Schizosaccharomyces pombe: one gene and its partner. The protein of the gene in region 1 interacts with the protein of each later gene in a pairwise test. Each region holds a gene or a part of one and is shown on either strand. Other genes may lie near its edges. The genes, in order: SPOM_SPBC56F2.07C and mdm35.

Evidence for each region.
Region 2: the proteins of SPOM_SPBC56F2.07C (region 1) and mdm35 interact in a two-hybrid assay, tested with the Schizosaccharomyces pombe proteins (one large-scale study listed by BioGRID).

The regions. Positions count from the first base shown.
Region 1 is NC_003423.3:4,098,538-4,104,046, forward strand, and holds SPOM_SPBC56F2.07C (ribosome biogenesis factor recycling AAA family ATPase), read left to right. Parts: upstream 1-2,000; 5' UTR 2,001-2,043; coding exon 2,044-4,473; 3' UTR 4,474-4,687; downstream 4,688-5,509. Other genes in the region: puf1 (RNA-binding protein), read left to right, coding at 1-393; protein tam13, read right to left, coding at 4,935-5,222. UniProt on the Schizosaccharomyces pombe protein: ATP-dependent chaperone which uses the energy provided by ATP hydrolysis to generate mechanical force to disassemble protein complexes.
Region 2 is NC_003423.3:741,964-745,208, forward strand, and holds mdm35 (protein Mdm35), read left to right. Parts: upstream 1-2,105; coding exon 2,106-2,144; intron 2,145-2,206; coding exon 2,207-2,377; 3' UTR 2,378-2,674; downstream 2,675-3,245. Other genes in the region: U4/U6 x U5 tri-snRNP complex subunit Prp31, read right to left, coding at 1-1,556.

The DNA of each region.
Region 1 (5,509 bases):
GCGTACCCTTCATACCCTTCGCACATACCCCTGGGCACTGCTTCTCTTCCCTTGAAGGGTAATTTATACCAAATTTCTCGTAGTGATGATATCAAGTCTGGAGCTCCCGTTTTAGATACCTCTTCGCTTGTAAATCCCACTTTGGCAAAGTCAGCGAGTTTGAATAACTCCTCTCTTCTCAACCCATCTTCGTCTTTACTTCGTCGTGAGGTTCCCGCCGGAAAATTAACTATGCCTGCATATCCCTACACTACCCAGTTAATGAATCATACCGCCGGAGCTGACTATGGCTTACCTCGTCTATCATCTAAACTTCCCCAGGTGTTCCCTGGTAATTACCCTCGTCTTCAGCAATCGTTGTTCCCTCGTCAAGGGGAATTGCGCTTCAATTAGTCCTTCGTTAAAAAATACTGACGTTAGACATAAGTGCCCTTCGCTTTATATGTCTTTGTATATATTCACATTTGTCGTCATGGTTGTTATTGTGTTTGTGAATTAATACGTATTCGCTTCATTTTTTAATGTCCTTTGTTATCGAATCATTCTTTGTTCGCTAATGTTGTTTATCGTTTTTCCTATTATACTTAAGTGTAATGTTTTTGGGAATATAGTACTACTTGTGCCATATTCCTTTCCATTCTTTGAAATTATTTCCTTAACGCAAACGCTCTTTGCCAATTAATTAATATTGAAAACTTTTTCGCCGCTTTGTGTTTTTCATTTGAATGGTTTGGATATCGTCTACAACTAAGTAGTGCATACCACCCATGCATTGCCAGTAATTGGTTATTTCATCTACCCTTTGATGGTTTTATATTTCTAATATGTATAAGCTGATTTCTTAATTCTGCCATACGTTTAACCATGAAGGAATTTATTTACTACTTATTTCATATCTTTCGGGCGCGAACGTGACCACGCAAATGCACGGAAGATTTTTGTTTTTATTTTTTATTCTGTTATTTTATAAACTTTATTGGGTTTTGTTTTCACTTATTGTTTTCTAATTCTAATATGTTTATGCATTCATCAAACATTAAGCATGAACGTTGTGGTCTAAACCATTCTCTTTTCAGAAGATGCCACAACTTCTATTATGGAAAATCTAAAAAAAAAGAATTATGATGATGTTTACGGGTTAGAAAAAGATTTCTTCATTTTTTTGGATTGGTGAATTTTGAGTAAAATCAACTATATCTTAGCTAATGATTGTCTTCGCCAATTTCAATCATGAAGTCAGAGTCTTTTTATTACCATGCCTTTATTTTCTTTTGGAGTCCTATTTTTGTTTGTATAATTATTACTGTACCGTTGATTGAATTTATATCCAGGGAGATTATTCGGGTTATGTTAAGTTTATTGGAACGTTCATTTAACGCACTCTTTAAGCTTCCGAATGCTTGAGTTTTTTAATTTGCCATAGAAAAAAGTTTTAATTTTAAAAAAAAAAAAGCTTTACAATAAAAATAATTATTTTGTTTCTCATATACGTACCTTTTCAACCTAACCTTAAATAACAATTCGATTCGACACAATATCAATAAACAAATGTTTTATGTGATAGCAATCCTTGTAATTAATGATTACTGACATAGAAATGCAGTATATGTTTATTCTGTTGGAACAAGTGAAGTGACCTAAGTTAGAATGGGATCTACTCCTATGTTTCCTTTTCTGGAGTTAGCTGTAGCAAAAAACACACGATATTCTAAATGCACAAATAGTTAACCAAATTCCTAAGACAAAAAAAAACGTTCTAGCATTATATAGTTTATTCACGAATTCAGTTTTAGTGATTTGGATATTTATTCGTTTTTTCATACGGTACTATAGTGTTTCAATATCGATTCTCAAATTAAAATAAAGAACTCGTAATAGAAACAATCATTGTTAACTAAATGTTAATTCCAAAAACTTTTTACATTTGATATTCAGTTATTTGTAATTAAGAACACATTTAGGACAGCCGAACGTAGTACAGTATTTATGAAACAGGGCTTGACAAAAACCAAAAATTAAATTTTGTTCCATACTAGGAATTTAATGTCTGTGGCTATTAAGTTCACTGTTAAAATAAACGATGGCTCTTTAAGAAGGCAGCAAACTCGACACGTATTCTTAAGTCCTGCTGCTTTGAATCGTCTTAAGCTTTCTCCGTCACAAGTAATTTATTTGAAACATAAAGGCGGTGAAGCTGTTGGAATAACCCAATCAGTTAAGGGAAATGGAATAGGTCCATTTGAAATATTAATTAGTCCTTTATTGGCGAAATGGGCAAACTTGAAGGCCTTCCAGCGAGTTAACATTTCACAATATGTACACCCTTTAAAAGAAGCTGAAGGAATCAAAATTGTTGCTTCATTGAGTAGCAATAATGAACCTATACCAGAGTCCTTAATAAGGAAAGAATTGCTAGAAATAAGGTATCTTCATCCAGGCATGATTGTTATGGGTGAATCACCGATGAATATGGCAAAGAGTGGTAGCAAAAATCTCAGCTCAGAGAATATGGCTACGGAAATTTTTGAAATAAATTCAGGTTTATCTGCGCAATCGGGTACTGAAGTAGGGTCCTCTCAATCTTCTCCCTCCGTGAATGAATCTGAACCAAAAGCAACAGAAGATCTCGATGAGCTTTCTCCCGGCTCTTATAAAGTTAAAGAAATTCACATTCGTTCTCCTTCAAACCTTATAGAAGCAATTTCTGATATGTCTTTAGATGAGCCTCGTATTTACAAATTTACGGCAGCTTCCAGTATGGAAATTGAAACACCTGATTTATTAAAATTACCTCATGAAGACAGAACTCAGTCTGCATACAACCAAGGAAGTGAAGAGACTCAAAACTTCGACGGTCCTCCTTCTGCAGTAACATTTTCGTCGATTGGTGGTTTACAAGCCCAAATCGCCCAAATTCGTGACATTGTAGAACTTCCGTTTCAAAATCCCGAACTTTTTAAGTTTTTTAATATTATGCCTCCTCGGGGTGTTCTGTTATATGGTCCTCCAGGTACTGGCAAAACGATGGTTATGCGGGCTGTTGCTGCAGAAGCAAATGCACAAGTGTTTACGATCGATGGTCCTTCTGTGGTCGGAAAGTACCTTGGAGAAACTGAGTCTAGGCTTCGAAAAATATTTGAAGACGCACGGGCGCATCAACCTTCAATCATTTTTATAGACGAAATTGACGCACTGGCTCCCAAACGAACGGAGGACGTAAGTGAAGCGGAGAGTAGAGCTGTTGCTACTTTGTTGACTCTATTAGATGGAATGGCTAATGCCGGAAAAGTTGTTGTTATTGCTGCTACAAACCGACCTAACTCTATTGATGAAGCACTTCGACGACCCGGACGTTTAGAGAAAGAAATCGAAATCGGTATTCCTGATAAAAGCGCCCGATTAGATATCATTAAACTGTTGTTATCAGGTGTTCCTAATGAAATTAATGATGCTCAATTGGAAGATCTAGCCTCACGAACGCACGCTTATGTTGGTGCAGACCTAGCAGCTGTTGTTCGTGAGGCTGCTTTAAGAGCTATAAAAAGGACAATTTCACTACAAAAGGACACTTCGGGATTAGACATTTTCGGTGCGGTGCAGATGGACGATTTGGAGTTTGCTTTATCGTCTGTCCGACAAAGTGCTATGAGAGAGTTTATGATGGAATCGCCCAATGTACATTGGTCAGATATTGGAGGACAAGAAGAGGTGAAACAGAAACTAAAAGAATCAGTAGAATGGCCTTTAACTCATGGCGAAACCTTCTCACGATTGGGTGTTCGACCTCCGAAAGGCGTACTTCTTTACGGGCCTCCTGGTTGTTCAAAAACAATCACGGCCAAAGCCATCGCAACAGAGACTGGATTGAATTTTATTGCTGTCAAAGGACCAGAACTATTTGATAAGTTCGTTGGTGAAAGTGAACGAGCCGTTAGGCAAGTTTTTCAAAAAGCAAGACAAGCCAGTCCATCAGTTATATTTTTTGATGAAATAGATGCTTTGACTGCGAATCGAGGAGAAGACAATAGTAGCGACCGGGTAGTTGCAGCTTTACTGAATGAATTAGATGGGATTGAAGCGCTTAGGAATGTACTTGTGCTTGCTGCTACAAACCGCCCTGATATGATTGATCCGGCACTTATGCGACCAGGTCGCTTGGATCGCTTGCTTTACGTTGGACCACCAAATTTTGAAGCAAGAAAGCAAATTGTGAAGATACAAGCTGAAAAAATGAAGTTTGCAGAGGATGTAGACTTGGATTTGATTGCGGAAAAAACGGAAGGATGCTCAGGAGCGGAAGTCGTGGCTCTTTGTCAGGAAGCTGGTCTGATAGCTATGCACGAGGATTTGGAAGCGAAAGAAATATGTCAAGCTCACTTTAAAACAGCATTATTGGCATTGCGGAAAGCCATAACCCGAGATATGCTTGAGTATTATGCATCGTTTTCAGAAAGTGTTACTAGCATTTCCTGAGAAAAAATATTATTGATATTAGGGGTTTCATTGTTTATTAATATAATACTTTTTTTCTGTGGTTTTAGTGTATTGTAGATGACATGTGTGGTTAATAAACTTCGAGTGTTTACAAAGCTAGAAATGTTACAAGTGATTGCAGAACGAAATTCACAATACATTATACATTATGCTCAATTTACTTCTACTGCACATTATCAGCATTACAAAAAATAGACCATTTCACTAAAAAAATATTGAGAGATGTAAAAAGTCATAAAACTCGTCAATTTATTTTTAAAGAGAAACATTGATATGTACTAACGTAACATGGAAGCGACAAATAGTCCACAGAAAGTGACATCGGCGATACAGTGCAGAAAAGTTAACGATATACATACGTTTTGCCTTTCTTTTGTTAGAAAAAAAGGAGAGGCACGGCCTCGTCTTAGTCGTCTCCCATGATTATCCGCTGCAGACATCTACTTCAAAAAACCCTTCAACTTGGTGATAATTTCATCTTGTGAGGAGGATGAGTTTTCAATTTCACCGAGAGTTTCCAAAACACGACCACCACTTGCACTGTTGATCTTGTTCAAAATAGCAAGTTTCTCGCTGGTGCTACCAGGAAACATATCGCTGATTTTCTTCATGGTCTGAGCCTGTTTCACTTGCTTTTCTGCACCCAAAGCAGAGCTCAAAAAGTCATTAGACTTTTCGCCTCCCTCCTTGTTGCTACCACCACTCAAGTTGTTCATAAAGTTCTGCATAACGGAAGTTGGAATTAAGGGCAGATAGATTCAAAGTTTAGTAAGTTATCAGTCTTGCAACGTTGTAGAAGATGATATCCTGAGCTAGACACCCATATATATATATATATGTGTATCTACAATACTCTTGTTACTCCCCAAACACCAATTCGTCAAAAGTAGCCGATGATTTCAGTATGAAGTGATTTATGGGTAACCCATCTCATACCAATTATTTGAAACCACTTATCTGAGAAAGCGATAAAATTCACTATTCAACATACTGCAACGAAGTAAACAATAAACTT
Region 2 (3,245 bases), 3.4 Mb from region 1:
TATGAAAATTTATTTTTCGGCTCATTAGAATCCTTCTTTATCTGTGTAAAAACACCATCACGAAACCATTTGTTGGCCTCTTCTACTTTTTGTTGTCGTTGAAGTAAGGGGTTCACTAGTTCAATGCCTTGAATAGGTGTGAAGGATAATGAACTTTGTAAACCGCTTGCAGCAAGGGGATTCTTCTGTGCCATTGATTGTAGTTGGGCCTTCCGCGCTTTTGGTAACCGTAATTTAGTTCGAGAATCAATTGACACTGCACGAATTTTTCCTTCACCTTCTTGACCAAGCATACCAAGACCTTCCGTTTCGTCAAAATTAAAGACTTCCGCCTCCTCCTTACCAAAGGCGACGCGATTCTGTAATCTCCGCAATTCCGTTACGGCATATTGCTCTTTCATCTTGCGAATTCTTCTTCCTCCACGACGACGTTTTGGCCTATCGTCAGGAACGGGTAGCGCAACAGTTGGTTTCTGTGATGGAGGTTCCAAAAGCTTTTCAATTTTCCGTTCAACTTCCTTTCGAGCAGATATGCCAAATGAGCCATCAGGATATTCATGAATGGAATCGATTCTTGCTGCTAAAGCAACTTTAGCAGCAGTCATTCGGATAGCTTGCTTTCGTACATCAGGAGGGGTCTTTTGAACAATTTCCGACATATACAAAAATCCATAATCCCCACTAACAGCCGGATTGTTAATACCAATTGTTGTCAGCCTCCTTTTTCCGAGCGCTGGTAAATTGCAAGCAGGAAACTTTCCAAGTCTAGTCAATCCTCCTGCAATGCCGATTAAATTGGCAGCTGTGGTAGAACCCACGACTGCAGACAAATTAGGAGCTACGACACTAATTCTTGATTGGACATATTCAATAATTTTTTGCTTTTCTTCACCCAATTGCTGAATTGCCTCACAGCAATTTTTAACGTTTTTTATCATTTCATCTGGAAGAGGCTTTCCCACTGTTGTCGTTGCTGTTGTAGCAATAACCATCACTGTAGCAGAAGGAAGAAAGGAAAGTTTGGTTTTGCTGTTGTCTAAATCATTTAACAGAGAACTAACAGTTTTGCAATAGTCAAAGGCATTCAAGACCAAACTACTTAATTCAGGAAATCGGTCATGATACCATTCCTTCACGAGTCTGTGCAGCCGCAGGATTTCATCGTCAATTTCCATCGCAATTGAATTAGAATCCACGATAAGGTGATATTCGAGATCATCTTCGATGTTTCCAGTGATAGCTTGTTTTTCGGTGCCTTTATATTTCTCAGTTCCTTCTATGATATCGCGAAGACGTGTAGAATTCAACAGCTGATAAATGTTCTCATTATTGTCATTAAATTTATTAGCAACTTCACTAGGCAATTTTTGAGCAGAATCGCTAATTTTGGTAATATCCAAATCGTTTTCTAATTCAGCAGAAATGCCATTTCCTTCCTCTAATTGTAACTCTAACCGCCTTTTCTTCGCATCTGGCCCAAGTTCATCAGTAATTGTAGATTCTGTAGTTTCCTCAATATCATCAAGATCAGCTAATAATTCATCTGCCAGTGACATTATATTGGTTAAAATCCTTGCCTAATGAAAAACTTTTTGTCAAGCGTAGTTGCCAGAAAAAGAAAAAAAAATAACAAAGCTGGTTCTGGAAGTCTAAGATTTCACTAAAAAAAAGACTAATGAATAATTCAAAAATAGGACGTAATCAGCAAACGCCAGGATAGTAATGTACAAAATAGATGTATGTGGCTATTTAATAGAACTGCAACTTTTTATAGGCTTAATAGCACTAATCGTGCAAATTTGAAGATTAATGCAAATAAATAAGTAAAAATAAGATTCAAATTCGCTTTATTGACAAGTTCCAAGTGGAGTGTCAAACTTGAACTGGCATGGGGTATTTTGCTTAGTGCTCTACACATACTAGACAACCACGTTACTACGGTCATAGGGAATTGGGATCGAAAACTGCTTGATTCATTTCTTCAAGTTTGTTAAATTTTTTTCGTTCATTTTTTTTTTCCTTGACAAGGAAATTGGTTTAATTGATCTGGAGAAAATTCATTCATTCAACAGTTTGGAAAAGTATCAAGATTACTGAATCCAACTATGTCGTCCTCTGTTAGTGAAGAATGTACCCCTGCTAAGGTAGAGTTTTCTTTATATGATAAACACTGTGGACGAATTTTAGCTGACTAAATTATGAACAGAAGAAGTATGATGCCTGCTTTAACGATTGGTATGCGAATAAATTCTTAAAAGGTGATCTCCATAATAGAGACTGTGATGAGCTCTTTGCCGAGTACAAATCATGTCTTTTGAAGGCTTTGAAAACGAAAAAAATAGATCCTCTTCTTGAAGCAGCACGCAAAGAAGATTAAAGTAAGAGCATCTTTGGATATATGATTTTTAAGGTTGCTTTGAAAGATAGCAGTACCATGGAATAAAGCTCTTCTTTTAAAACGGGTGAAAAAGTGATAAGCATCTGTGCAATTGTAAGTTTATCAGAATTGTAGGTAACGAAATATCTCTGCCATGAAGCAAGTATACACTTCTAAAGGTGTTGTTTAAGAACATATGATTCGGCATATCCTTTTGCTGGCAAACCAATAATTCTCTAAAAGGGTAGTTGACTAAGATCATACTAAGTAAAATGATATGAACATCTTTTCATTGGACTCACCTTTGTAGAAAACTTGTAAGAATATACTTATAATCAAAGAATTGAATGGTATTCCTTCTTAATTAGTCTATTTTCACTTCGACATGCAAAAACATTATTTTGGCAAAAATTCGACACCAGCAGGATTTGAACCTGCGCGCGGAGACCGCAACAGATTTCTAGTCTGTCCCTTTAACCACTCAGGCATAGTGTCCAAGTCTGTCACTAAAAAATATATAACATATACATATTAACTACATCAGTCGCAGTTAAACAATAAAAATTTGAATGAATGAAAAAAAATACTGTAAATGTCAATTGATTTTTATCATTTTTAAATAAATAAAATTTGTAACTGTTAAGTCAAATTTCGAACCTCTACGTTTAGGAAAAGCTTTGCATGAATGTTCAGTATTTTCTTTATTAGTTTTGGAACTATTGTATTCAAAAGTACACTGAGTCCAGTAGTAATCAGTTCTGTTGAGAATTTCATACTATTGATTGTAATTGATATACGGTATTAAGAAGCTGAAAGTTGAAGTGCAGTCAATTTCCTTTGTAAAACATGTCTTTCATAGTTAGGTAGC